Linked DNA regions of Oreochromis niloticus. The protein of the gene in region 2 purifies or fractionates together with the protein of the main gene of each other region. This does not show direct contact. Links are inferred from orthologs where the notes say so. Each region holds a gene or a part of one and is shown on either strand. Other genes may lie near its edges.

Evidence for each region. Proteins that work in one complex are often made in the same cells at the same time.
Region 1: the proteins of ubxn2a (region 2) and ppp1r11 purify together in Homo sapiens (affinity purification with mass spectrometry; 3 studies listed by BioGRID and IntAct, counting the BioPlex papers as one, with this or other methods). This does not show direct contact. The link is inferred for Oreochromis niloticus from reciprocal best matches to the Homo sapiens genes UBXN2A and PPP1R11.
Region 3: the proteins of ubxn2a (region 2) and ppp1r7 purify together in Homo sapiens (affinity purification with mass spectrometry; 3 studies listed by BioGRID and IntAct, counting the BioPlex papers as one, with this or other methods). This does not show direct contact. The link is inferred for Oreochromis niloticus from reciprocal best matches to the Homo sapiens genes UBXN2A and PPP1R7.

What each region holds. Positions count from the first base shown.
Region 1 is NC_031985.2:37,932,332-37,939,599, forward strand, and holds the start of ppp1r11 (E3 ubiquitin-protein ligase PPP1R11), read left to right. Parts: upstream 1-4,255; 5' UTR 4,256-4,399; coding exon 4,400-4,510; intron 4,511-4,639; coding exon 4,640-4,753; intron 4,754-6,041; coding exon 6,042-6,150; intron 6,151-7,268. Other genes in the region: vars2 (valine--tRNA ligase, mitochondrial), read right to left, coding at 443-524, 607-704, 886-952, 1,026-1,147, 2,337-2,437, 2,519-2,600, 3,792-3,953. UniProt on the Homo sapiens protein: Atypical E3 ubiquitin-protein ligase which ubiquitinates TLR2 at 'Lys-754' leading to its degradation by the proteasome.
Region 2 is NC_031980.2:3,667,509-3,675,140, forward strand, and holds the start of ubxn2a (UBX domain-containing protein 2A), read right to left. Parts: upstream 3,019-7,632; 5' UTR 2,866-3,018; intron 2,488-2,865; 5' UTR 2,469-2,487; coding exon 2,425-2,468; intron 2,191-2,424; coding exon 2,079-2,190; intron 361-2,078; coding exon 251-360; intron 1-250. Other genes in the region: atad2b (ATPase family AAA domain-containing protein 2B), read left to right, coding at 5,924-6,022. UniProt on the Homo sapiens protein: Acts to repress the ubiquitination and subsequent endoplasmic reticulum-associated degradation of CHRNA3 by the STUB1-VCP-UBXN2A complex in cortical neurons.
Region 3 is NC_031982.2:16,066,413-16,074,151, reverse strand, and holds the start of ppp1r7 (protein phosphatase 1 regulatory subunit 7), read right to left. Parts: upstream 3,014-7,739; 5' UTR 2,970-3,013; coding exon 2,870-2,969; intron 2,834-2,869; exon of another isoform or gene 2,762-2,833; coding exon of another isoform or gene 2,749-2,761; intron 2,151-2,748; coding exon 2,055-2,150; intron 1,863-2,054; coding exon 1,807-1,862; intron 1,588-1,806; coding exon 1,522-1,587; intron 1,345-1,521; coding exon 1,214-1,344; intron 1,112-1,213; coding exon 949-1,111; intron 794-948; coding exon 677-793; intron 593-676; coding exon 488-592; intron 379-487; coding exon 292-378; intron 1-291. UniProt on the Homo sapiens protein: Regulatory subunit of protein phosphatase 1.

The sequences.
Region 1 (7,268 bases), on a different chromosome or scaffold from region 2:
AAACAGTTAAAGGTGCTCATGTTTCCCCCATTCAGCACTACAGCCAATTGTACAGCTCAACTTCAGTGTTTCACTCTGCAATTCTAATGGCCACGGGATGGTGAGATTTCTCTGAATCATTTAGACGAGCCTGTGTGTGCGCCGTGGTGAGGAGGCAGAGATGGCTAAAAATAAATAAATCTGCCTTACTGGAAGCAGGGACGCTAGGAATGACTTATCATCTCTACCCATCGTGTATATGTGGTGTATGTGCTTACATCGCACTAGAGTTTCATATTCATCTCCCTTTGTACCGCTGCAGTTATTTGTACAGTTTCATAAATCAGCTCATTAGGATGGTTGAGATTATCTTCCTGGGATGGCTTCATATGTAAATCTCCATCAACACGTTGAATCGTAGAGTAAGGAACCAGAGCAGGAACATGTGTGACTCGAGTCTTACTGGGTCCATAGTGAAACAGGCTCTGCTCCAGTCCAGAGAAGCTCCAAGCTTCCTCAGCTGGTGGTAGATCTCGTCTCCTTTCCTGCAACAGAAGCTCAAAACTCAGCAAACACTGTGTAGGCCACACAGCAGATGTGCTCAGAAGTCCAGATGTGAGGACTCACTCATTCTTCCACTTCCACACCTCCTCCAGAAACTCGTCCCTCTTAAAGTCTCGTCTGTGCCTCCCTGTTTGCCTCAGCAGTCTCCTCTCCACCACCGTCTAAAACACGAGCACATCGACACTCTACAGCACTGAGCATGTGCCACAAGCGTTGCAACGACAATCTTCAGCCTTAAAAATGGAATTTGATATAAATGTGTGATTTTTAGCAGTTTCCATACTTTGATGTTACTCTGAGAGACACCTGAGAACATGTGAGCCAAACCGTCATTACGCGTACCTGCGTTGCGATACCTGCATGGTCACATCCAGGCACCCACAGCACTCTGCAGCCCTGCATCCTTCTCCTGGTGGATACAAACCATCAACAGATGAGCTTAGAGAACAAAGAAAACATGCTGCTCTGCTGTTGATAGTTACCATCGAACCAGTGCATCCTCTACAGCTACTGTCAGAGCGTGGCCCAGGTGCAGAGTCCCAGTCACGTTTGGTGGAGGAATACACAGAGAGAAGGTCTGATCCACAGCGTGGGGCAGCCGTTCCTGAGAGCAGGAAGGGAAACACATGACTTGTGTGTGTGCACACTCGCTCTGAAGAGCAACTTTTTCCTTTGCTGTAATCAAATATATCGTAATATATCGTAGTACTGTTGCTCGTGCTTTAGTAACGTATATTTTCTAATAATTGAAAATATTAACTTGACTTCTAAACCCAAATAAAATGAAATGATTTAAAAAAAAAAAAAAAAAAAAAAAAAAAAAACACACGTTCAGATTCAAATGAAATGGAACATTAAGGTGGACTTTTGAGACTGAGTGAAGACTTTTTTGCTCCTTGTCGTGCCACCTTTACCTGGATAACTTGAATACATTAAAAATGAAATACAATCAGATTGCTCTGACCAACTCTGAGGTGGTCAGGCTTGCAGCGTGATCACATCTGAGGAAGATGCACTTTTCTGTTCTTACAATCACAATGATTGTCTGAAGGCCCAGAAAAATAGGCCTTCCCAAATAGATCATTATGGCTTTTTGCCATACCGGTCCACGTGATTGTCATATTTTATTCAACCTTTATTATTATTATTTATTTATTTTTATTTATTTTGAATTATTACAATCAGAATGGACAGGACCAGGGGACAGGAAAGACGAGGGACAGAGAAGTTGGGGAGAAGAGGAGGAAAAACTCGAGATGAAGAGGGAGGGAGAAAAAAAAACAAACACTGAAAATCTGCTTCATCACCTGGTGAGAGAAAAAGAAAAAGCAAAGCAAAAACAACACAGGAGGAAACCACAGAAACCTGCCTTCTCCTGTCAAATGAACAGGAGAAGCAAAGCAATATTTTTTCTACAATAAAAATAATTATTGTAGAAAAAACAAACTGCTGTACAGCAAATAAAGAGAGCACTGCTGGCAGGACAATGGTCAGAAAGTACATAAAGTTCACTTTTGATGCCTGAAAATATGACCAAAGTAGAAGTAATTGTATGTATTGAAAACTGTCTGTGACAAATACAGATGTATGTTTTCTGATCAGTGCTCTAAAACTGTTCATCCATTTTCTGCATCACTTAATAAAAAGCGTGCACGTTGCAGGGAAATCACATATGAAAGCTTAGCTGATTAATCACTTAGTTTGTTTCATAGAAACTGCAAAAAACTGCATTAAAGTGAATTCATTTCTAACTGCAATGGTAATAATTTGATTTAACAAGATCACATGTTTACGTGTTGCTCAGGACTGAAGAATCCCTCTTTCTCCCACCACTGATACCAGCTGGACTCCACATACTCTGGACTGTAACAAGACGGGAACGGTAAGCTAGTGTCTGTAGGGAAAAAGAAAAAGGACTTTCAGAGCCTGCAAGGAGAAGAGAGAGCCAAGCCAACGGGGGTTACAGGAGAGTCACCTTTCTTTGCCCCAGGAGGTGTAGGACCGGTATAAGCAATCTTCTGCTTCTCACTCCACTTTACTGCTTTACCTTCAGCACTCTGCAAACAGAAACATCAGAGCTGGTCTAACTGGCAGCTTCAGCTATGTATTTATTCTCTCATAACTGTATTTATGACACCATAATGGACAGAGTCCATTAAAACAGCACTGAACAAGTCACAAGTCAACACGGTTCAAACACAAAAGTGTGTAAAGTAATTGTCCCCTAAACCCAATAACTGGTAGTGCTACCCTCAAGACGTCCAATCAAGTGTTTGAGTTAACAACCAATGACTCTTTCACATCACTGTGGAGGAATTTTAGCCCACTCTGCTTTGCACGATTGTTTCCAGTTAGACACATTGGACAGATTTTCCAGCACGAACAGCAACTGATTTTCACAGATGGCTGTGTAGGTTTGAATAATTTTATTAAATGAAAGCATCAATTAAAGACACAAAGACCTGGATGGCCGCTAACTTTCTGCTTCTTAATTCAGATCAAACTGAGGTTATTGTACTCGGCCCTGAAAATCTTAGAAATATGGTATCTAACCAGATTCTTACTCTGGATGGCATTACCTTGGCCTCCAGTAACACTGTGAGGAACCTTGGAGTCATTTTTGACCAGGACATGTCCTTCAATGCACATATTAAACAAATATGTAAGACTGCTTTCTTCCATTTGTGCAACATCTCTAAAATTAGAAATATCCTGTCTCAGAGTGACGCTGAAAAACTAGTTCATGCATTCATTACTTCCAGGCTGGACTACTGTAATTCTTTATTATCAGGATGTCCTAAAAACTCCCTGAAAAGCCTTCAGTTAATCCAAAATGCTGCAGCAAGAGTCCTGACAGGGACTAGAAAGAGAGAGCAGATTTCTCCTGTTTTGGCTTCCCTTCATTGGCTTCCTGTTAAATCCAGAATTCAAAATCCTGCTCCTCACATACAAGGTCTTAAATAATCAGGCCCCATCTTATCTTAATGACCTTGTAGTACCATATCACCCTATTAGAGCACTTCGCTCTCACACTGCAGGCCTACTTGTTGTTCCTAGAGTATTTAAAAGTAGAATGGGAGGCAGAGGTAACTAATGAGTGCAGCATTAAACTATTACATTATTATTGCTATTATTAATACAACGATGCCAGTATATCCGTAAAAATACACACAAACGCACTAGTACTCTTTCCTTGGAGGATTTGACAGAGAGCTTTAGCCTTCGTGCTTTGCCTCCCTCTAACTTACACCATGCTGACTCGATAGGATGCCCTCCTCCCGCACTCGTCTGCGCCTCTGCTTCTCGGCGTGGGGCCGTGCAGTGAAGTTTGTGTGAGAAGCTTTTGGTGGGGTGCTGGAACAGAGTCTGGCTGCCCTCCCCAGACTCGGACCAGTACCTGTCCTCCACATCCTCGGTAACTTTACACGCTAGAATGCCCACACATGCCAGCCACAGCCGTGTAACTTAACTACTTTGTCCCTGCCAACCTGAGGACAGACGTTTGTATGGAAGCTTTACACAAAATTAAACCCGTGACGAAACGATGTTCCAGTATGATTTTGTGCTGTTTGTTGACGGGCTATTAAATCTTCACGGACAACAGGAAACACACTTGGTCCGTCTGGAAATATCTTCCCCACACAGCGTTTCTAGCAATGACTGTAGTGTTTTCTACAGTCACTGGTTTCAAGTTAAAGCTAAGAGGAACCGGAACATCCTTCCTGAGTTTAAAAATAAAATAAATTGTGGAAACAGAGTTTTCTATCCAATTAACTATCTAAACCATTTAATTCCACACATTATATAATGATATAGCCCAGCGACTACTGTCATGTGATTATTTTTGTGTGTGGTGATGGTTCCCAGAGCTGATAGTTTTAACGAGGAGCCGTGCGTTTCCGTTCCGACCCTGGCTAACGCGTTTTGTGCTTTGACTGTAGCCACCGCTGCCCCACACCTAGTAACTGTGGGTTGACATTTTTTCCATTCAGTGCGATTTTTGGAGTTAAAGAGCGGAAGGTTAGTCGGTTAGCTGTCGACTAACGCGGTGTCGCTCATTGTTGACGCTCTGCTTCGTTTCTTTTGCATCTTTAAGCTAGTTAACGGTAGCGTTAGCAAAGCAGCGGCAGGGATGGCGGAGGTTCCAGGAACATCCAGTGAGACCATAACTGAGACAGTTCAGACGAGCACACCGCCGCCGCCCCAGCAGGTAAACGATGGACAGCTGTTCGTGAGACAGTTGGACTGCTCTGGCAGCCAGTGACAGTGTACATTAAAGAGATCAGCGTTCATGTTATTACACGGGAAGCTTCGTGAGGCCTGATATGTTAGTTACGTTAGGCTTATTTAAATGACAGGGCTGCTAGTAGCGCGGTAGCATTATGGAAAGCCGATAGCGGGCTAAGTGCTGAATATCTCAGCGTTGCTGTGTGAAAGTTAAACAGCTTTCAATTAACAACCCGAATCTGTAGTATTGTTGCATAATGTCTAAAGCAGCAGGAGCATCCGGTTTACATGTTAAATACACTCTGTTCAAATCGTATTTCAAGTTGTACTGCTCAGATAAACACAGTCAGACCTCCATTACCTGAAATTCCCATAGTCAGTTAGAGTGGGAAAAAGATGTAGCGCAGACAGGCCCATCTGTTGGCACCATGGGGCAAAGGGATTGGTCTCTGCTAGCATACATACCCGGTAACCCCAGCTTTGTGTCATTTCTGAGGCAGGTGCTCTTTAATAGTTTGTACCTTAAACCCCCTCACCCCTCCCAACCCTCACGGCTTGACTTTTTTTTTTTTTTAAAATTGTTGCACATTTTTTTCTTTTTAAATATGTGCATAGTCCTGTTTGACTTTTAAATAAGAAGAAGTCTTAAAGGATATTAAGAGGCATACTCGTGTTTGGCTACAACATACTTTGTGTATCATTTTACACAAATCTTCGTAGTCCTACTGATACAGACTGTTTACTGCAGATGTTGTCATAATTAGAAGTATTTCAATACTTATAGGGGAAATAATTTCGCCTAGGGATCAATAAAGTATTCTGATTCTGATTTCAGTGTTTGCAATTTATTTTAAGTTAGGCCTTTAAAATATTGTCAGACTGATGGTCATGGTATGTAAACTGGTTCTTATATAGCACGTTTCTGCTCTGAGCATTCAAAGCACTTTCCACAACTTAACCCATTAGCGCTTGTATCTGTCTAACATTCATACACATTTAGAGTCTGATACATCAGAGGAATAAGTCCTTGGGGTTAGTATCTGGAGCAAACAGGGATCAAACCACCAACCTTCTGATTAGTAGGTGACCTGCTCTATCACCTGAGTGAGGACATGTTTTAGAGAGCAAGAAACAATAGCATGCCCATGACGCCATAGAGAGAACAAGAAGGTCCTACAAATGATAGATGTCATGGAGTGTGAGTGCAGGATTCACAGTTCATACTGTGGTTTGTTTGTGATGTCTCACAGTAGACCTCTTACATGTTACAGGAGGGACGAAGCTTGACAATCAAGTTGAGGAAGAGGAAGACTGAGAAGAAGGTGGAGTGGTCCAGTGACACTGTTGACAACGAGCATTTGGGAAGAAGGTCTTCAAAGTGTGAGTTTATCTTTCTTCCAGCACACAGGCTGAGAAACATAATTAAGCAAATATGGCCACCACCAGTTTTCAGTGTTTTTAGATGGCCTGTTGACTTTTACTTTTTCTTTTACTGTTTAGGTTCAGTGCCAAAACTTACAATTCAATTCAATTTTATTTATATAGCGCCAAATCACAACAAAAGTCGCCTCAAGGCGCTTTATATTGTACAGTAGATCGCACAATAATAAATACAGAGAAAAACCCAACAATCATATGACCCCCTATGAGCAAGCACTTTGGCCACAGTGGGAAGGAAAAACTCCCTTTTAACAGGAAGAAACCTCCGGCAGAACCAGGCTCAGGGAGGGGCGGGGCCATCTGCTGTGATTGGTTGGGGTGAAAGAAGGAAGACAGGATAAAGACATGCTGTGGAAGAGAGACAGAGATTAATAACAGATATGATTCGATGCAGAGAGGTCTATTAACACATAGTGAGTGAGAAAGGTGACTGGAAGGGAAAAACTCAATGCATCATGGGAATCCCCGGCAGCCTACGTCTATTGCAGCATAACTAAGGGAGGATTCAGGGTCACCTGGTCCAGCCCTAACTATATGCTTTAGCAAAAAGGAAAGGTTGAAGCCTAATCTTGAAAGTAGAGATAGTGTCTGTCTCCTGAATCCAAACTGGAAGCTGGTTCCACAGAAGAGGGGCCTGAAAACTGAAGGCTCTGCCTCCCATTCTACTTTTAAATACTCTAGGAACAACAAGTAGGCCTGCAGAGCAGGCAAGCACTGTGGTATGTTTTAAGATGCTGGTGGTTTCGCAGTGGGGTTGTTGTTATCAGTGGGATTTTCTGTGGGCGTCCAGTGGCTCGTCTGTTGGGATTCTGCAGATTATGAAATAATTGAAAGTCATCATAAAAAAATGAAAACTAAATCACAAAAACAAAACAACTGATATTCTGCTCTTATGCTGAGTTTGGAACAATGGAATATTTGGCACAGGGCTGTAGAGTCAGTCCTGAAAAAGCTGCTTGTTCTGATGTTTCATGAAGTTTGTCCTTGAAAGAAACTCTGTGATTTTATTATCAGGAAAAAAAAACAAGAAAAACAAAAACTAGTTTGAAATGACAATA
Region 2 (7,632 bases):
TGACACCATCTTGCCATTAACTTTTCACTGCCTGAGGAACAATAAGAATTGCACTATTAGTTTATAGTCTGAACACTCCCTTCTCATCAGTGCGAGAACACTATTTGAGGTCATTAAGCCACCAAGAATAATTAAAAACCATGATTAAAGCCTGGGATTTGATGCCCCTCCTTTGTGGTAAGGCAGCAAAAATTTAACTGAAGACATCCTTAAAACAGGAAAGATATCCTGTTTCAGCCAGTCGACTCACCCCCTTTTGATGGCATCCAGGAACTCTTGATTCTCTGGAATGGAGTAGCTGCGAAAGTCCTCATCATTTACAGTGAAGCCGTCCTTCCACAGCCTCACCACCATCTCCACCTGGAACAAAAGCAAAAAAAACCCAATCAAATAGGCCTGACAGGATTCAGAGATAAAGTCGCCACACAGCTGTTAACCTCGGAAGGTCAGACTTTTACTGCGGACTGTTTATCCTGGCAACGAACGGGTGAACAAAATATCCTGTGATCACTGAAGCCTGGTGCTTGTGCTTTCAACTGAGATTTGGCTGACAGAGCTCCGCGAGAGCCCTCATTTGGAGAGTCTTACGCCATTTTCACTCACGCACCGCAGGCCATTGGAGGCGAACGTGAGCATGCAATTTTCAACGCAATTAAACAAATGTTTAGCCTGCCGGGTCCCTATTACTAAGGCTTTGTGAGGTTCGTCTGGGCACATGCCAGAAAAACTACAGGTAATAGTTCAGTGATTTCACTGCAGGCAAGTGCGTCCTTCTCCTGCATGATCCGGTCAGGCAGCACCGTCGCCTAATCCAAACAGAGATTCCTTGTTACGTCCTCTTGGTTTGTGCTCTTGGCTTTGAAGCTTAGAAAGTTACTTATTAAATACTTTGATCTGGCACTTAGCTAGATTGTGCATTTTATTTAAATTGCTATGATGCAAACATGAGACTGTTTTTATGCTCCACTGGGACCTGTATCCCATAATAACTTGCAATTAAAAGAAATGTAAACAACAGGAGGTTAATAAGCACACATTTGATTGTCAACAGAGATGATTCTGCCTAACAATGTCATTAAAAATATAAAATTGGAGCATTAGCTATATCAAAATGTCATTTAAGTGCTTTATATTGAATTGATGTATACTGAGTATATGTGTGACATGAACTCTCTTAGGCAGCTTTCTTAGCATTTCCTTTGTTCACCACTGGTTGAAATGCAGTCCTAAACCACGACAGACTCTTCACTATGTTTCACAGATGGCTGTAGACACTCTACCTCTTTTCTGACCCCTCCATTTCTCTCCCCCGTTTCCCTTCCTTAACAACAGCTTCTTGACAGCCTGAGACACTGTGACCATTTCTGATGAGGCTTCAATGAACAGTACATTGGTCAACTGAAGGATAGAGACATCTCTCTGGTCCTGTGTCAGGTCTTTTTCTGGGTTTTTCTCAAGGACATGACTTTAAGATTTTTTTTTTTTAATTCTGTACTTATCCAGTTTCCTCAAATCTTTAATGTTTTTGGCTAATAGCCCTTGAGGAATTACCTTGCTGGTGCAAAAATACTATTTATGCCTCTCTTGTGGTGTTATCTTTGGCAATTTCCATAGTTTCAACTAAAGAATTGTGAACAAATTAAGTGTTTTTGTGGCAGGCTGCCAATAACAAAGTGCCTTAATGATGCAAAAATTGATTCTTTGCTAAGCTGTCAATTATTTATAGACATAACACTAGTTTCACTCCTTAAGTTTGATGCCTTTTTCTACTTAAATGCATTAAGTGGCTTAACAAACAAAAATAACAATCCTGTGAAAATAGTCAGATACAAGGACCGGACTGAAAATGAGTGAAAAAGCAGCCAATGGGAACTACTGATGAAAACCAATTTTAAAAAATGACAAGTAAGTCTGGCTCCTTGGAAGCATAAATATAAACAAATGAAGTGTGGCTTAAGACTCTTGCATAGTGCTGTGTATACTTTACTTAAATGTTGTGTTATTACTAGTCTATAAGCTCAGAAATGTAGGCGGGGCATTTGCAGAGATCTGGCTCTCAAGGTGAATTTGTCTCTGACCTTTGAAGTCCCTGAGGCATCGTAACAGATCTTCTCCACCTCATCGAGGAGGTCTTCTACAGAAAAACTACGACTCATTGGAGGTTCCTCTTCATTGTCCTCACTGACCACCCTTTATGAGAAGAAAGTGCAGGTATTCACTCATCATGCTTACTGAATTCAGTCTACAGTCACAAGCGTTATTGTGCAAGACCATGCAAAGCAAGTTCACACACACACACCCCAAAATATGTTATTATTTCTGTGTCCAACCCAGTTATTTTCAGATTATTTTACAACTACGGGATCAATTCAGTTACAGGACTTCATTTGCCTAGAAGTGGATTTAACAAAAATAATGACTTACCATTGTTCATCTTTCTCACTCTCCACAGTGTCAGTTTCTTTCATGTCTTTCTATGTTTCCCATCTAAGAAACAAGCGAGCACACACACACACACCGTTTTAAAAGCGTGGTTGATGTTCAATATTTTGGGGGGTAACCTTTTATTGTCTTAGCGGCGTATTATGTACACGTGTGCAGTAAAACTGTGCTACACCGCTCAAAAAGGAACTAAAAACTGATCATTTTTCTAAAACATTACGTGATCGATAGATAGCCAGACAGCCAAGCAGCCTGCAGCTTTATCGTTATTTATGCAAGTGGGCGGCAGAAAGCGATGGACCCGCAAAGAGCAAAACACACACGCAGGAGCCGCTCGTAAAAACGAGGATTATTTGTCAGCATAAACACAACAGATGCCCATTAGCATGCGCGCATAAAGGGTAAGGTCGAATAGTGATTTACCAGTCCGTGTTTTAATCGGTTAATCCAGGGCTACACATCTGTAGCCATAAGTTTCAGGATAGCGGTGCTTCTGCTGAGCAATACATGTGACGTAACAGTGCCGTAAATCCACTCCCGATGTCGCGGTTGTACGCTTTCTGTGCTGAACTCAGCAGATCTTCTCTCCCAGCTGAAACTGACGATACAGTATTAGATGGCATGGAAAGCCCACTGGATCCAAACTTGTGTGCGTTTGTTTCTATTTAGAGGTAAGATGTCTCATATGGCTCAACCCTATGGAGGGCTTAAACTGCCAAAATCCAAAACAAATCATTAATGACTAACTAACAAACACGCAGGCAAACAAACAGACAAAAATCATTTAATTTGGTTTTCCGGTACATTTTCTTGTAGAAGCTTCTCATACGCCCTGAGGACCAAAACTAACAAAATTATAAATGAACAGGTAAATAAATCAGTCAAAAACAAAAACAAATAACAATTAAAAAAAAACAAAAAAAACTATCTTACTGAAACGCACAAAATCTCTTTTTGGTTGTGTTAACTGAGTAACAGAGCAACCAAACCTGGCACACAGGTACATCTTCCACACTGAATGTGATCTGCTCATCACACGTTGCTTTGAAGCTGACAGGTGGTCAGTTATGGATATTCTAGGCTCTGACTGCCTCACTGATGCGCCAATACATTTATTACCATATATTTACTATGTTATTCAATGACATCCCGTCTCTCATCAGTAGTTTCAGTCGCTCATTGAGTTGAGAAAAGTTTGTGTTGGATCCAGCCCTCTATGCAACATCACTGGTTATTTTACTCGTAGTTGTTTCAGTGCCTGAATGTATGTAAATCACTTTCTGTGGTCTGTAGTTGCCACATCGCTGTGAATCGCTTCCTGTAGGGGTACAGCTTTAGGCTCATGAAGGTTCTCATCTATATCACATATTATGTTGCCTAACAACCACCTCTCAACAGGTTATAATGACCCATTTGTAGCAGTTATACACTTAAATTACCTTTCACATGCATGACACCACTTTCACTGCACAACATTTACATAACACTTAAAATTGTTGCCCATGTGTTATTGTGAAGCAAAACTTGAATAATGCATGATATATTATGATGTCATTATGTTGCACATTGTAGACCAAACAATACTACAGCATGGTCATTTAATAGTCAAATACAATTCAACACATCAAATATAATTTTACAAAAGATCTTTTTATTTTTCCCCATTCATTTGCTTACTTATTAAATGTGCCTGTTATTTATGATTTTGGCATACGTTTATACTTTTTTGACATAATTATAGAAACATCTGTGCTTGAGATACAATATAGCATCCAAGGTGGCATGTTCAGTATAAACCATACCCTTAAACTTATTTTCATTATCTTTGAATCAATTATCATTGCTAGCAAATGTATTATTATAGTTTTTTTTCACTACTACTTCTAATAAAAGTAGTAATTTAAACTTGACATATGTTGCATCAATTACTAAGCAGCTACACAGTGAAGACAGTGATGTATGGTGTGAAGAACAGGCTGTATCTCTCAAATTATGCCTAGTGAGAGACTAAAAAAATGTTTAAAATTGAAAGGAACCTCTCAATGGTAACAGAATTTAGTCTAGGAGTTGACTTAAATTATATCCAGGAAAATAAGCAAATATGTTTGGTTAACATGAAATCCATGCCTGATCTTTGATAGAGTATTAGTAGAGAATGATTTCAGTGTGCGGGATGACCCTCGACCTTTTCTGCATTTCCACGCCTTCTATTAAACTCTACGAGAACATATAAGCACAGGTAAAGAAATTTCATTTTTCAATCATCTAACCGATATTTTGATGGCGAGATAATGAACTGGACATGTGAATGAATCGTCTAGTTCACTTCATTTGAAATCGACAGCCTGGCTGGAGTGCATTGCCAACTTATGCTCAGAACAGGGTACAAAAAAATGAAAACAGATTCTTGTTTCCATGTGAAAGGTTTAGATTTTCTTACATTTGTATCAAAAATATTTATTTGAGATATCAAATGTGAATATTTTATGGCACAAGGTTCTTAAGAACCCCCCCCAATGTTTTGACGTTGATTTTTAGAAACCATTGCTTGAACCAAAAAAAGAGGAAAAAAAGAAGAAAAAAGCAAAACAGATGGCTAGCACAGTTGTATCTTGACTCGAGCCAGAAATAGAACAGAAAACACACAAAATGTCATTTTTACTTGTGGGGATAAAATGACAGGGAGTGCAGTGAAAGAAGGAAGGCTAAAAGCATCAAAAGGAGAAGAGATTATTATTAATTCAGCCTCTTCTACTACATACTTGAAGGTCACAAAGAATTCAAAATTTGATAGTGAATACAGTTCAGTCCTGTCTTGCAAACAAACAGAGTTTTTCTTTTTTAGGTTGTAGTAATAATAGCTTGTGGGATTATTTGAGTTTTAAAGATTCTGATTGCAGTTTTACAGGGCAAGTCTAAATATTTTTATAATTCACAGACCTTTTACATTAGTTGATGTTTTAATATATATATATTTTTGATGAAGACAAAGAGTGAATTGCTGCACATACTAGGCAACCTGGGAAAAAAACTGCAGACAATTTGTATGATAAAGTGCAGGCTGCCCACTTCCATCTGTTTTCCTGCTGCCGTCAAGTGTACCACCTTTTGTTATTCATCTGGTGACTTATCGTGCTTTAATAGTACTTAGCTGATTCACTGACTGTCCCCAGTGTACAATACAAGTACTTACCCATAGTAACATATCTGCATTAAGAATTACTGCCTTTGTAATATAAAGTATCCATGTAATAACAAAGATCTTTTGGTGGTAATCCAGTCAGCAGAAATGAATGCACCTGCCAAACAGACTTAGAACCACCACACAGAGAGAGAGGGAGAGAGAGGCGGGGAGATAGAGAGGTAGACAGAGAGAGAGAGAGAGAGAGATGGCGCCTCGAACTCGATCCTGCTCTCACTGAGGCAGTGTTCAGAGCCGGTCAGAGAGATTCAGTAAGGGGCAGACAAAAGAAAAAAAAACATGGTGAACACAAGGAAAAGCTCACGGACTAGGAGCGGTCCCTTCATCTCGTCAAGGACTAGGTCGTCGTCGAGAAACGAGCGAAACTCTGAGGAACATGTAAGCCGGTTTCTTTTCTTTACCGGCGAGCTAGCTGGCTGGCTAGTTTGGCTAGCTGGCTGCTAGCCTTGGCCTCAAGGTGCTCCACATAATGTATTATTCACAGCAAAATACGAGCAGTATCGACACTGACACCAACACAGTCACGCAGATACACAGTGCAAGACATGAATGCGGCTAGTCGTTTGCGTGTCCTTCGCACTGAACGGATTGTACAGCTGTCAGATTACAAGCTAGCGTTATGAACTGGCTATAGCTTCAACTTGAGTTCCCTTTGTTTTTGGCAATTTTGACCGGCTGACTTGTTCCACCGTTTTCACCATTAATTAGCCCTCCCAATAAAGACAGTTGGGATTTTGACTCAAGGCTGTTGGCACTACTATGTGTCGCTATCCTCGAAGTGTCAGCTTACTTATTATCTCACATATGAAGGGAGAAAGCGATAGTTAAGCTAGCATTGTAGGTTATAGCTAGCCTAGCAGCTAGCTTAGAGTGGGGGGAAGGGAGTCCCAGGTTCACAACAGTTGGCTGGCTCGGGTCCGTATTTAGCAAGTCTGCACTTGGTGAACTTTCAGTTATAAATGACCTAAAGACCCATGGGCAAGTTGGTTTTTAGACTGTCCGTTTAAAACACACTCGTGGAGTTAAACATTCCCATGTGTTCTTCGAAAGAAAGATTTGATAAATGAGCTTTAGATTTTACTCCCGATCGCCCGACCTACAAGCTGCCTGACAGGCTTTGTTTCAAAATGTAAACATTGTGATTGTGCAAGACGGGAAGGTCCGTATTTCCGTAAAATTTCAATTATTACGGCACTTAACATAGACAAAGAATTCATTTCATCAATGGGAAATATCTGTTGATTGCTGTTTGCGCATTCCTGAGTTTTAGTGGTTTGTTGGATGAGTGGTGGTACGTCGCAGAATTGTGGGTCATGATTCATGAAATACGTGGCTCAGGTCCAGACCAATTGATAGCACCCGATATTGCACTGTGTGAATGTAAAGCTGGACTCTGTGTAACAGAGTTTGCACTTTCCCACCTTTTATTTACATTACCATATCACAAGAAGTCAGTGTAGTGTTGTACTCCATGCAACCAGCCATTTTACTCTGTTAGCTACTTGTTGACCTTGTCAGAACTTGTCAGAACCGACTGTCCTGCTGTGACAGTGTTTGCAGAGTGATTCACATGTGGAAATGATTTCACGGTGCACCTCTTGGGCTGCCTCCATGCATTTCTTCACTCCTGGTACATCCTGCATTTTACCGTCTGTCTGCATCCATCTATCCACACAGTCAGACAAACCCCTCTGTCAGCACTGCAGACAGTTGCCTATGACAACAGTGAGATATGCTCACATATCAGCGGGGAAGTTAGGCTGTGAAGGGCATGAGCATCAAGGGCGTATGTCTGGATGGTGCTGTGCTGAGATTCACAGGGTACATTGAGGAAGTGGGTTCAGGGTGTCTTGTCTCATGACAGTCCTCTATTCTGGATTTGACACTTGCCGATCTTGTTCTCTTCTGTCCTCGATTTTTTTCACCCATTAAATATATTTTTACTTAATATTCAAGGAGACATTGTATGCAGATATTTGTGAAATCTT
Region 3 (7,739 bases), on a different chromosome or scaffold from region 2:
TCACTGCCTCTACTCCTTGCATCTTCACTTTTCTACCCATCTCATTCCTCTTTTCTCCAGTGCATACCTCCACCTCAGCAGGATCTGTTCCCTACCCACAATGTCATAATTTTTATTAACAAGCAAAGGTGTAGTTAATTATTTGATGATGGTTGCCTTTTAATGCATGCCGACGTTAAATTTTCTATGTTCTAAGAAACTTTTCTTCTTCTGTCAAACTGTCAGCAGTGAAGATGGGCTGTCTGTACTGAGGCTGTACATTAAACAACATGTCAAACAAACTATCTGTACCCAGAACTCCTGCAGCTCCGTCAGGTGGCTGATGTTTTCTATTTTCTTTACTCGATTGGCTGCGATGTCGAGGGTGGTGAGTTTTTTCTGTTCGGAAAAACAAACATTGCTGTTACATGTTTGCACAATTCAACAGTATGGAACCCTATTTTTTTTATGTGTTTTGGAAATGTGGGACTGAAAGTTTATAACTTACATTGTTTTCCAACCCCTCAATGACCTCAACGCCATTGTGGCTCAGATAGAGCTCCTTCAGGTTGACAAGGTTCTGAAGCCCCTCAATTTTCGTAATCCGGTTGCTCTGCAAGTAAATGCAAACCCAATGATTATCTGTTGTCTGGATCGTGTGCAACTGTAATCAAGTGATGAATGTATGTGAGGATACCTGGATGCTTAAAACAGTCAGGTTGTGTAAAGCGTCCAGATTTTGAAGCCTTGTTATTTTATTAGTGCCAAGAAACAAACTTTGCAAAGATGTAAGTGAATCCAGGTTTTCAATGACCTGTGAACACAACAACATGAAGGCAACACTTCAAAATTACATGACAACTTACATTTTCCAACAAATCGTCATTTATATTTTGCAAACAAAACCCATTATTTACATAAGGAGTTCAAAACAACTTCTCAGTGCAGCACAGTCCCTTTGTATCTCACCCTAATGCGATTGGAGCCGAGCTCCAGCATCTCCAGACCTGTGAGGTGCTCCAGATTCCCAATGCTGCTAATTTTGTTGTGAAGCAGAAAAAGTTTCTTCAGCCGAGTCAACTGCTCCAAACCCTCCACCTTCCTCAAAACGTTAAATGACACGTCAAGCTGCCTGTGGGTTGTCAAAACAACAGTCCCTCTCAGAATAAATATACCTTGATATGTGAGACCTTTGTTCAGGCTTACGTAAGAAGCACAGTTTTGTCAAACTTACTCCAGCTCCGTGAGGTTGTGCAGATTCTCCAGTTTGCGGATCTGATTGTCATAGAAATCTAGTTCCCGCAGGGCACTCAAACTGTCGAGGTTTTCTATCTTTTTAATGAGGTTCTGCCGTAAGGAGAGCGTCTGCGTGCAGAGGAGAGGCAAAAATAAAAGAGGATACCATCAAGAGCAGAATTATGGCGCATTAGATAGGTCCTTATTTTAGATATGAAAAAAAAAAATGCAGATGAAACCAAAATGCCAATAAGACTCAGGCGGTAATGACACTGCCGCCAAACGCATCACCTAAATAATACTTACTTTAGCCTTCTGTAGCACCTCTAGTCCTTCAATCTTTCCAATACGACAGTGAACAAGATCAACATCCTAGAAAGAAATATAGACACCGTAAGAGATCAGGCAGTCTATGGTTAATTGCCGTTATGGCACAGCACCTACATACAGATTTACACAAAGAAGTTCAAATTTAAAAAAAACAAAAAACCTACTGTTATTATGAGCTCTAACACTATCGTCTTCACTTTCTTAAACTACAAACAAAAGTCATCAGAGATGAAAGGCATTTTCTTCAAAACTTCCACTGACCTCTTCCTCAGGGTCCAAAGTTATCGTGTCCATGTCAACAGGAGACTCTTCTTTACCTTTAATATGAGCAAGAATAAATGAAATAAAATTAAAGCATCCACTGCTATCAAAAAATTAAAAAAATTAAATATTGCCACATAAAGATTTTATCTAAGAAAGTATCCATGTGAAAATAACACAAGCAGCACGCCTAATTTGTAAAATAAAGCACATTCTGTGTGGCTGGGTAGGAGGTGATGATGACCTACTCGTAGCAGTGGGCTGATTAGGGTCCACATCGCCATTGATGCTCTTCCTCCTGGTTTCATCATCACCAGACTCCTCAGACTCTCCCCTCCGGTCCACTACAGTACGCAGACAGAAGAGAGCCTCAAAACCTCAACAAAGATTCACAGCTTCCGACCGGTTACACACACACACACACACACACACACACTTAGATGATGCCAAGCCCAGGTTTATCTGGAGCAGCCACCCTCTGTCTCCACTATCACTAGATCGTGATAGTGCACATTTCTGTGCTCTGTAACGCGCTCAAATTGTGGAAAAATGTGTGGAAAAATGGGATAGCACTACCACAGATTTTACCTATTCGTATTAAATGTTGCGGGATGTGTCCCAGCTTTATTTTCATTTTTTAAAATCAGTTTGAACGCGCGTTACCTACTGAACACACGGGCGACACATTGCTAAGCACGTTAGCCAGCTAGGTAGCTGACTGTATCACAGCTAGCAGCTTTTACGAGCTGAATCTGAAACATGTTGCATGGTCGAGGAAAAAATAAACGTCTATGACCATGGGGTACCCAACACACCCTGAAACGCCGCTGTAGATGGCCTTTATAAAGATAGCATGAACTGACGTTAAATTAATATCGCCAGCTAGCGTCTTGTTATTAGCCTGTAAGCTAGCAAAGCAAGGATGAAGGTTTGGTTAGTCACCAGAGAAAAACATCAAGGAGCGTGCTCAGATGAAAAAAGACTCTTTTAAACAAATGGCTGCCAGGCTAACAAGCTATAACGATCACAACGCGGCTGCACCCTTGAAAATTTGGCTACTCACCTTCCATTTCTTGAAGCTCTCCAACAGACAGGGAAGCCATGTTTCCTGTAAACACTACTGACAACCGCGCAGCCAATCCAGTGGAAGCATACGCTGACATCAGACACAAGGGGGCGCTGAAGGCCGCTGGAAACGAGCATCAACAAATTATACGGTAAGGTTTATATAACTCAGGACATAAACGTAACACTAGTTGACAAGAAAGTACCGTTATTGAACTTGCATTATTCAGTATATAATTTCAAATGCAAGCTGCTTTTATTTCCTCTCTTTTTCTGTAACTTATTGGATTTCACACGGTACACCTGAATATAAATCTGCTAGACTGCACAGTGCAGTTTTTTTTTTTGAAGGATCTGTTCAGCAGATGTTATACATGCAGTTAGAGCTGGACTGGGACAAAAAATCGGGCCTAGCATCAGGTTGGTAGAGTTGTTGTAGGGTTAGTTCTTAGTTGCCCTGCAGCATGGGACAATTAAAAGCTACACATTTAAAAGCAATTAGCAATGACTCATGATCAAATCAGCCATTAATTTCATCTGAATCCTTGAATCTCTACCTTCCTAATTATGTCCCTTCATCTATTTTCTTACCACGTTAATTTCATCTTCCTCTGTCGCTTCCTGGCTTCTCCACAGCTGGTGGTTGCGGCAGGAGCACAGCTGTGACTGTGAGGTCTGGTTACTAGTTGTTACTACTGTTCTGCAGCAGCACCGACACCTAACATGTTGGTTAATTTTAGCATTGTAACCCCTTTCAGACTGATAGATGTTAATAGCTTTGTTTGTCTGCAGTTTCTTTAGATTGCGACCAGTAACTGTATTAAAGTTGTTTTCCTTGATTGTGATACAGTGTGTTTCTTTTTGAAATCTTATCCTACTTCACTTTGTCAGACAGGGTCTAAGTATATTCTTGATTCAGCAGGTCTGCATTAATCAGGCCTGGGTGTGGGTAGTGAAATTGAGCTCATTTTTTTTTTTTTTTTTTTTTTTTTTAAATGTGTTAATTCAGTTACAGGTAATTCATGATTTAATAAGGTTGCAGTTAGTTTCTTACACAGGGCTGGGTAGGTTTGGATAGCATTTTCTCTTAATAAATGAGATCATTTAAAAACTTTATTTTGTATTTACTCTGGTTATATCTAATATTAAAATTTGTTTTACGATCTTAACTTTTTAAGTGTGACAAATATGCAAAAAAAAAAAAAGAAAAAAAAGAAAGAAAGAATGTAAAGAAACATACTTTTTTAGGGCACTGTATGTCTTTGTAGGTTCTTAGTCATCCAGCTCATGGTAGGCTTAAGTGCTTGAAATGAAGGCACCTGGATTTCTTTTTGATTTATGAAGATGGTTCATTTCTAGTAGGAGAGTCCCAGATAGGATTGTCCTGTTGGAGGTGGTTCTGAGTCACTCACACACCCTGTCATCATGTAATTAGTTAAAAGTCATATGAGCCACGAGTGTGAATCACGGCAAGGGTCATTAAAGTGCCAAGACTCCTTGGTGAGATATTACCCCACCTTGCCATCATGTGCGCCAGTGAGGTCAAAGTGTATGACTATCAGAATCCCCTCCACTGCAAGGTTGCATACTGCAAAATAAGTCCAAATGCATATCCCATGATGCATTGAGCATTTCTGCTTTACTCACCTCTTTTATCTGTCTACCCTGTGTACCCCCAACCAGTCACAGCGAATGGCTGCCCCCCTGGTTCAGCTGGTGGTTTCTTCCTGTTGAAAAGGAATGTTTCCTACCCAGTATCACCAGCTGTTAGCTCATAGGGGGTCATCTGATTGATCATCATCAGATTTAATTGTTGGGGTTTTTGCTGTGTTATTGTAGGATCTTTACCTGACAATATAAGGCACGTTGAGGCGACTGTTGTTGTGATTTGGTGCTATATAAATAAAACTGAATTGAACTGAATTGAATTTCTTGTATCTTGTGATTGGAAGGTCTGTTATTTTATTTGTGTTTTAAGTGATTATTTGGCTCGGACTGTAAAAATGTCGATGTTTATGTAGCACATTAATGACTCAAAAGCAGGAGAGATGACAATTTAAAGTGAGCAGCATAACCACTTATACAAGGTGAAAAAGGGTGCTTGAAGTAATTCTGTCTGATGTAACATAAAACAGCCCTGTCTCTGTTACATTTCCTGCACTACCACAACAGGTTGTTTATACGACCACTTCCCATGCGTGCTGCGTACCGCCCATCTTAAGAATTCCCTTGCATAAGACTGAGGCACTGCTGTCATCCACAAGAGACCTGATTACAACATCAGCATCCAGATAGTTAACATTTCTAAAAACATAACAAACAGACACTGCCGATTTGAGCCCATGGTGTCTAATCAATGTGTTTCTGTTATGATGACATGAGTGTGATTGTGTAACGTGTTAGATATGATTTTTTTAAAAAGGAACATACAATTCTTACTTGACATGTTATCGGGGGTAAGCAGAGGTGTGTCAGCCGGGATAGGAGAATAAAGGTTGTTTTCATGCTTAACTAGCAGCTAAATATGTTTCTAAGCTGCACCTCCCAGAATCATTGACCAGTCATTTCAAGACACAAATGTAAATATTAACTCTTCAGAAGAGTAATGACAAAATTAGAACATTTGTTTGAAAGTTGAAGGCACAGCAAACATATAAACCGCAGAATGTACCATATACAGGTGGGTCCATAAGTCATTTTTTTCCTCGGTACACCAGCACAAAGGATTTTAAAAAAAAGAAAAAGATATTTAAGATTAAAGACTATACATACTGTAATCTGCTAAAGTATTGTGTTAACTGTTTGTACTACAGCAATTCTTATGCACTCTCCCCCAGAGGCTAAATTGGCAGAGAACAATGTAATGGCCCCATGAGGATCTGTCTGGTCCCTCGTTATTCCATGATACAAAGAGGAGTAAATGTATTTTAGTAGTAAGCGCAGACATCTTTTTTTCCTCCTGTGGTGGCTTCAGTCTGCTGATTTGTTTTGCCTTTGTATTGAATTTCCTCTTTTGAGTGTATAACTCGATAACTCAGAGACATCACAACCCAGCCTGAAGTTAAGCGCACTGACTCCATAATCCACAAATGTATTTATTCTTAACATTTGCACCAATTCATACATGCATTCCAATGCGTTTTATTTTGATCACATTGCTAATTGGAAGGTCAGGCTCCTCCAGCATGTATGTCAAAGTATCCTTGGGCAAGATATTAAAACCCAAGTTGCCCCAGATGCATCCATTGAAGTATGTGTGTGCAAATGTTAGGCAAAGTGCTTATTGACATAGAAAGAAGCACACGTACAAATGTTTGTGTGTATGGCTGAATAACACTCGTAGTAAGAAGATGCTCTAAGTGCTCACACAGAGTAGAAAAGTGCTATACGTAAAGTCAATTTAAGCATATAAAATGAGTTTCATTGTTTACACTTTCAACACATCTCTGACAGCAGCCAGCAGCTGTGTTAAACATTCAGACTGTGTAATATCACCCAACAGTTTTTCATTGAATGTTTGTTTCATCTCCCCATCATATGCTGCTACTCTTTATCCATTTGCACAATACTATGTCACTTTTATTCGATATCATATTTTGCACTATCCTACTGTATATTACTGTATACTTGTATTCTATTGTACATATTGTATATCTTATTACTCTGTTCCTCTGTCTCTCTTGCTGCATTGAGCATGTGTATGACAAAAGAATTTCCCTCGGGATAAATAAAGTTCTTCTTATCTTATCTTAAACTGGACTGACTGCAGGATTTGATCAGATTCTGCTCTCAGGGATAACAGGCTCAGGGTTATCCCTCTATAAACACCTTAAATTTAGTGCGTCTCCCCCAAAACCACACTCACTGGCCACTGTATTAGGTACACATATCTAGTGCAGTGTTGGAGCCCCTTTCCCCTTCAGAACTACATTGATTCTTCCTGGCATAGATTCAGCAAAGTGCTGGAAACATTTTCCTTTTCCTGTTCTTAGCTGACAGGAGTGGCACCTGCTGCAGTCTTCTGCCGTTCTAGTCCATCTGCTTCTAGGTTCATGCTGTGCGCTCAGAGATGCTCTTCTGCATACCTTGGTCATGAGTAGTTTTTCAGTTACTGTTGCCTTCCTACCAGTTCGAAGCGGTCTTACAACGTTAACAAGACATTTTCCCATAGATAACTGCTGGCCAGAGCATGTCTGGCACCAACAACCATGCTCAAAGTCACTTAAATCATATTTCTTCATCATTCTGATGTTAAGTTTGAATTTAAGCAGGTCTTCTTGATCAGCTCTACATGCACGGAGTTACTGCAGTCCGATTGGCTGATTGGATGAGTGTACCTAATGAACCTGCAAGTCAGTGCATACCTGCCGTAGAAACACAAGCAGGGTAGAATAAAGTAATAGAAACATACAGGTGGCAGTCGAACTAGAGTCCTTGAATAAGTCAGAGTCGTGTCAGGGTTCAGAATTCGTCACGTGATAGGCGGTGACGGTGCTTATCGGTGGATTTAAATTAGGAGACAGTCCGGCAACTTTTGACAATTATGAATCTATAAATGCGTTGAGTTACAATATTTACATACAAATGGAACAAATGAAAAAAGATGACGCGATGGCTCTCATTTTAATTATTTACGGTTTCCATGGTTACCCAGCTCTGTTTTGAATTATCAGTCGAGTCCTTTGCTCTGACTTCATAACTTCGCTGTTTTGAAAGCTACCTTAAATGACCTTTGACTGCCCCCCACGCCCCCCGCACCACCACCACCACCACACACACTCACAACAACTCCACCTCACCGGACAGCCAAAAGAAAAAGCAAGGCGGAAGCCTGAAGTCAGGTGAACCGAAACGTAAAAGCCTAGAGA